2 linked regions of the Coturnix japonica genome follow. The protein of the gene in region 2 interacts with the protein of the main gene of each other region in a pairwise test. Links are inferred from orthologs where the notes say so. Each region holds a gene or a part of one and is shown on either strand. Other genes may lie near its edges.

Evidence for each region. The genes of interacting proteins can lie anywhere in the genome.
Region 1: the proteins of KLHL41 (region 2) and NRAP interact in binary tests that used the Homo sapiens proteins (3 or more experiments, as listed by UniProt). The link is inferred for Coturnix japonica from reciprocal best matches to the Homo sapiens genes KLHL41 and NRAP.

What each region holds. Positions count from the first base shown.
Region 1 is NC_029521.1:24,360,718-24,364,376, forward strand, and holds part of NRAP (nebulin-related-anchoring protein), read right to left. Parts: intron 2,869-3,659; coding exon 2,557-2,868; intron 1,586-2,556; coding exon 1,481-1,585; intron 780-1,480; coding exon 681-779; intron 570-680; coding exon 465-569; intron 1-464. UniProt on the Homo sapiens protein: May be involved in anchoring the terminal actin filaments in the myofibril to the membrane and in transmitting tension from the myofibrils to the extracellular matrix.
Region 2 is NC_029522.1:16,684,826-16,688,484, reverse strand, and holds part of KLHL41 (kelch-like protein 41), read left to right. Parts: intron 1-898; coding exon 899-2,072; intron 2,073-3,659. UniProt on the Homo sapiens protein: Involved in skeletal muscle development and differentiation. Regulates proliferation and differentiation of myoblasts and plays a role in myofibril assembly by promoting lateral fusion of adjacent thin fibrils into mature, wide myofibrils.

The sequences.
Region 1 (3,659 bases), on a different chromosome or scaffold from region 2:
CTGCATGAAGTGGAAACAAAATCTCTCTAAATCAATTCCACTCACTTGCATTTGCACTCATGTTGAGGACTGTGACTAAGGGATCGTCTCAACACAGCACTGCAGCTTCATGGAGATAGATCATACAGTCAAGGACAGAGAGGGATTCTCTCTCTGCCTCATCAAATACAAGTAGAAAGTTTTATAAGAAGTTATGCCTAAAATTTAGGACTTAAATGTTTAATAATAGCTTCTTGTCCTAGGAAGCAGAACAAATTCTTACAAGAAAAATAAACAACCTTTCCTGATCTCTCCCTCCCAGGCCAAGCAGCGTACTGGCAGTCCACAAGCTCTACATTTTCTGTTCATGTTCAAAGAACCTGACTTCTACACATTCATGAAAGCTTTTCATTTCCAAGCAAATGTGTTTTCTTTAATGATTGTTATAAAGTCAGTTCCTTAAAGTAAAAACTTCTGTAACTTACTTCACTGATATGAAGTGCATTCTGGCGAGCTCGGATAAAATCTGGATGATCAGGAGGCAGCGTATACCTGTGCCTGGCTTCAGAGTCTCCAGCCTTGTACAGCCTCTGAGGAGACAAAAGACAGTGAATGCAACTGATTCTGGAAGTCAGGTCGATTCTTTTTAATGCCTTTAGCACAACAAAAGTTAAGATCATTTATAGTCAAATGAAACCTACATCATTGCACTGGAGGTAGCTATTTTTAGCATGAATCAAATCTGGAGAGTCGACCACGGCAGTGAACTTCAGACTTTCTGGCTTCTGACGGTACTTGGTCTGGAGGGGACAAAAAAACACAAATAAATACACACACAGGATGCTTCTGTTAGACAGTGGTGATATATCGTGATTCTAGGTGTGTGATAATTGGAGTAAATCACCAAAATCACATTCCTGAAGCCACAGTGATAAAAACATACTGTTCTGCTTTGGTCTTAGTTGCTCTTTCAGCCAGTGAACAAGGATGCCACTGTCTCATTGCTGTAATTCCAAATCACCAACCTTTCTTTATTTTTATTTTTATGTGTGTGTGTGTGTGCACACACAAGGACCCTGCACTGAAAATTCACATGTGAAATCTATGAACACTGCATTTTTGGCAGCTTATACTTTTCCTCTATTAATACCTGATACTAAGCAGGCTAACACACCTTCATTGTGACTGTCAGTGTTGTATCTTTCTATATCACTTCCATAAGGATCTGCTTAGAATTTTATAATAGAATTTACTGCATTTATTTATTGCTACGTGTTTTGTTTATACTCTTGTGTTTCATTCGGAATGGAAAATATTCAGCAGGTGTCACACAGTGGACTTGCATCTCCTGTATTGCTTCTTGGTAACTTATACCTTGTATAAACAGGCTCCCACATCAAAAGGAAATGATAAGCTACATTCGTAAGTGTCATGTAACGAGGAGCCTTGATGGTAAACAATTCCTACAGACGTGCTATCCCATGAAAGATTTATCAGTTACCTCACTGATGAGCTCGCCAGCCTTCTTTACACTTTCTATCTGCGGAGATCTCAGAGCCATCCAACCAACTCCTTTCATGAAGTTCAGGTCTGATTTATAGCGATGCTGTTGAAAATGAAAATCGTTAGCTATCAGTTTTGCATCCACAGCTATTAAGGTATTTTAAAAAGACTCTCTGATTCGTATTAACATTTTGAGGTTTTTCATTTGCCATGCACATATCAGATCGTAAAGCCAAACTGTTTGCATTTGTTCATTCCACCAGGAATTAAATAATGTATCATATGCAAGTTACAAGAGAAGGCCCCACAAGTGAATTAGTATGGCTCAAAGCAGTCAGTAATAACCTGTTTGTACTGGGCGTAAAAGAAACCCTTTTGAAATAATTTTCTGAGGTGAGTTCAAGTCAGGAATACTAATTATTTTATCTGGTGCAGGCTTCCTCATTAACCCCATTTCTAAGAGGAGACTTAAGACTCTTTCTTTATTCACATTAAAGGTTTCCTCTACCTTCTTATCCAGGAAAATGAGACAGACCCAATGTAAAGTAAAAGCTAGGAAAGTAGTCCCAGTCCTGACGATTCTTACCTCTCCTATAAGCAAAAGGGATGGCAACCAGCTAGCTCAAACAGGTGCTGTACATTATTCTTACTATACAGCGAGGGGATCAGACAAAATCACCTCAGTCATTTCCCTTTGGTGTCCACAGGCAAAGAGAGAAATCCTTCTGCACAAAGAATTCTATGTGTAGAGCAATGGCTGTCAAACCACTGGCTGGCTGCTATCCAAAATGCTGAGACATTACTGATTATTATTTTTATTTTATATTTTTATATCCCAGAGCTCTAGGATAAGTGACGTGGACCACACTGATTTTCTGTCATGTTCATAACATAAGAACTTCTAATTCATGTATATTCTATAGAGCAATCAGATATCTTGCTACTAGACATTGTAAGTTTGCAAATACTATTTCTAAAAACACTGCCCAATGTCAGCAAACAATTTGTGCTATTCCTTTAAAGCTCTATCAATACTAAATTCAGTTATTTTCTCTTTACATAAGGAAAGTTTACCTCGCTCTGTAGCATATGGGCTCTTTTGGCCCATTTCATCTTCAAGTCTTCCAGGAGTGCTGTAAATTCGTGGAGTCTCTTTCTATAATCTTGATCACTTGCTAAGGCCTGGGCTTTCCTTGCATGGACAAGATTCACCATGTCCATGGGCAGATTGTATTGAGACCACACTCCCTGGGATCCTTTCTTATACTCCTGTTCACTCTGTAATTTGGCAGCATGCAAGCAATGCAGCAACCTGGTATCATCCAGAACACTTCTGGCCCCAATGTGCTTTCCTCTTTCCATCACAAAATTGTGTTTATACTGGTACTAAAAATAAAAAAAAGGATAGAAGTGAAAAAGTGCCATGCTTAGACTGGCTGCTCTAGCTAAGTAGCTTAGGATAAGTCACTGAAACATCTATGCTGACTGCAAAAACAGCCAGGGTCTGCAGTGCTAAGTATTTCCCTGAATCTCTCATTGCTTTTGAGTTGCCACAGTAGTTGTAGTATATAAGTTAAGCACAATTCAATGCATTCTCTGAATATCTTCAAAGCACTGGTAATATGTAAACCTCAGATGATGCACTTTTATTAACTCTCAGTTATAATCCCATAATTAGGAATGAGAATGTAAGAGGAATAAGCAAAAGGAAGAAGAAAATATCCCTATGGTGAAACATCATGCACTCTGTAGCCTTCAGATTTGCAAATGCCACCCAGCTATTTTAAAGAGTAAATTCAGTCTTCCTGGATCAATAACTATGTTGAAAAGCCTAAGATGGTGGCCTGAACAGAAGAATAAGCACCAGCAACCCCTCGTTCTCATCTTAGCTGGGACTATAACTCTCTCTATGATCTTGCATTTATCCTCTCTGTGAAATAGTGATGATGATGATAATGATTATTTATACAGCATCAACAGGGTGCTTGGAACTTTAAAGAGAAGGCCTGGGCCCTGAAGAGTTCATAATGTAGTTGAAATGGGATAATAACACTTATCTACCACACAGGAGAGTTGCGAGGATTAAATTACTGTAGCTAATGTTTACAAAGTGCTTCGAAGATGAAGGGCCAAATTCAGATCTGTTGTAAGTGGATGTAATTCTATTATGGACTTGT
Region 2 (3,659 bases):
TCTAAATTCACAGTTCTTAATCTACTTAACTTGCATCTTTTACCTTAATCTGAGATTTTAAAAAATGGCTTTATTAGCATCTATTAAATAGTGTATGTCTGTTGTATTATGGTTTGTTTTTGTTTTTTTTCTTGTCTGTTCTACTTCTTAGGTGCTGTTTTCAGTTTAGTTTTGCAGCAGCTGATATGGTTTCTAAAGTAATCAGATGTGAAGGGATTGGTGATGTTTATAGATGATCTGGAATGCAGAATGATTGGAGGTGGGAGGTAGACTTAATTTTAAATTACTGTTAAAAACAGTACCTGAATATTTTATACTTTAAGAACTGTTTGTTTCTAAATAAATACAACCAAAACAGTGTTAAGAAGCAGCTCAAAATTCAGTTTTATTACCTATATCTTAAAAAATGCTTGTGTGAGTTATGCAATAAAAGTTATTTTAGGATAGAGATAATTTATATAATAAAGTATCTCATTTAAAATCTGTAGCAAGGCACTGTAACATTCAAGTAACATTCTGACAAAGTAATTGCAGCTGACAAATTGATTAGCAACGCTTTTATTTGAGAATATTCATAAAGTGTATGTTTATGATCTTGCTCATAGCTGTCTTACTGAGGGTCACATTCTGCCGTCCTTACTCACGTCAAATAATTTCTTACATTGCAAGTAATCTCACTGATTAAATGTGGAGAGTGATGGCAAAACCTGACCACAGTGAGTAAAAGCAACAGTTGCTTCTTTCAGTCTTTGACAGCTGTGAGAACAACTCTTTATTTTTTTCCAAACCATGCATCCTAAATTCCGACCTGTAAGAGTAGGTACCTATATTTAGCTAGTGAGATTAAGTTGCAGAGGCTTCAGGCAGGGCAAAGCACATTGGTCTGTCTTTTTTACAGACAGACATTTGGGCAGACAAGAGCACAAGCTTTTTGCTCCCTCCCTTCCCCAAGTATTTGCAAAATGGATTCCCAGAGGGAACTGACTGAAGAACTCAGACTTTACCAATCCACCCTTCTTCAGGATGGCCTCAAAGAACTCCTGGAAGAGAAAAAATTCGTAGATTGCTCCCTAAAAGCTGGTGACAGAAGTCTGCCTTGCCACAGATTGATTCTGTCAGCATGTAGCCCTTATTTTCGTGAGTATTTCTTATCTGAGCAAAATGAAGAGAAAAAGAAGGAGGTAGTTCTAGATAACGTTGACCCCAACATCCTGGATATGATTGTCAAATACCTTTATTCAGCAACTATTGATCTTAATGATTCTAACGTGCAAGATATTTTTGCTTTGGCCAGCCGCTTCCAGATCCCTTCTGTATTCACCGTGTGTGTCTCCTATCTTCAGAAGAGGCTTGCTGTCGGTAACTGTCTGGCTATCCTTCGATTAGGTGTTCTGCTTGATTGCCCAAGACTTGCGTTTTCTGCCCGTGATTTTGTTTCAGATCATTTTGTGCAGATCTGCAAAGAAGAAGACTTCCTGCAGCTTGCACCAAACGAACTTATCTCCGTTATTTCACCTGACAGCTTAAATGTAGAGAAGGAAGAACTGGTATTTGAAGCAGTGATGAGATGGGTCCGGTCAGACAAGGAGAACAGAGTAAAGAGCCTAGGAGAAGTTTTTGACTGCATACGTTTTCGTCTTATGCCAGAAAAATATTTCAAAGAACATGTTGAGAAGGACGATATAATTAAAAGCAACTCAGATCTTCAGAAAAAAGTAAAGATTATTAAGGATGCTTATGCTGGAAAACTGCCTGACTCCAGCACAAATAAAGAAAAATCGAACAAAGGGGAAGTGAATGGTGATGTAGGAGATGAAGATTTACTGCCGGGCTACCTAAATGACCTTCCCAGGCACGGCATGTTTGTCAAAGACCTAATTCTCCTGGTTAATGACACTGCTGCAGTAGCTTATGATCCTCTTGAAAATGAATGCTACCTGGCAGCCCTGGCAGAACAGATTCCCAGAAACCATTCCAGTATAGTCACCAAACAAAATCAGGTCTACATTGTTGGAGGACTGTATGTGGAAGAGGAGAACAAAGATCAGCCTTTCCAATCATACTTCTTTCAGGTATAAGCTTTCTAATTATTATTGTTGTGGTAAGTGCTTATTAGAGTTATTGGAAAGTACTTAGAGTCTGCGCAAGTGAATTGTCTAGTCTCTGTATGGTCAGTGGGGAGGTGTTCCAATAAAAAGCTCATCTTGTCTCATAGATATAAATTAAATAGAGGGACTTGTATCTTCTCTTTCAAGATCAAACGCTGGGTAAGATCACAGGAAAGAGTAACTCGTATGTAGATATTATATATAGAGATATAATGTTTGTCTTGTTTATGAAATATTTTAATGACAGAATAATATCTGTATTTTAAATGTCACTTTTTCACTAAAATTTCACAAGTCCTTCTACTACATTTACATTTGAAAGCCTAAGGGCACTCTAAAACATAATTTATTGGTAGAAGGTTGTTCTCCTGGCAAACTGTCAGTGTCAGGATACTAACTGCCACATTTCAACCCAAGTGCCAAATTTTAGTGTGCATAAGTCTTTATAAAGCCAATTAATACAAACTAGCTTCCATGACATATTTCAGAAAAGCAGCAAAATAACAATTTGGCATGCTTACATTACAAACAAATTCTGTGGTATATTTAGCTATCTGTCTACATGCTGTTTTTTAATGTGTAAATGATCTTATGGTGAATTCCACGATGTGCTACTGGCCATGGTCTGTCTTTAGGCACACTGACCTAAAAGAGTGAAAGCAGACCTTTTGACAATATGCAGCAAAACAGTAACAATCAGTGATAGGATCCTAAAGCCTTTACATATCTAAAAATGACAATAGTGAGTGTTTGTAACACTGTGGTTCACTGATTTCACACACCATGAAAGAGCTGGTTTCAAAAATTTTCCATAGCTGTGAGAGGAAAGCCATGTTGCTAGAGGGGGATTAGCACTATTTCATGTCCCTTTATGGGTGAAAAATGCTAATCAATAAAGTGCAGAACTTGTTACAGCTATATTCTTCCCATAGATAAACCACATTGATGTAATCCAGAGCTGAATAATGGGGCTACTAGAAAGGGGTCTCTGAAAAACTAAACTTCAAGAGTGATACTAAAATCTGATTAAATGTTCAGAATGCTACATTATATGTCTAAATTAATATCCTGAAATCCTGCTTCCTTTTTATCATTAAAGATAAATCATCTTTAAGGTTGCTTGTTGCCATACTGCATATGGTTAAAATACTTTTCTGCGTTACTCATCTGGCTGCTCTCTGTAAGATGTTAATATGGTGTCATACCCACATTCACTTCCTAAAGGTCCTTTCTCTGTTAGTCATGCACCTGTTACTCTGTTAGTACAACCTGTTACCATTTGGCTTGGACGCTGGTAACCCAGGACAAAACCAAGCTGCCACTGTCTCAAAAATGCAGGACTAATTGTTTATTGCTCTATCAACTGCGGATGTCACCTTTAAGACTGATACAGAAAGCAGGCTGTCAGCTGTTTTGACCTCTTTACCTAAATCTAGCTACTGGGACAACCCACAGCCTTGAACTACGCTTTACCATTGCTGTAGAACAATTAGTTCAATAGGAGTGGTCTATCAAATCTGGGGGATGCATTTTACCTCGACTTTGGAACAC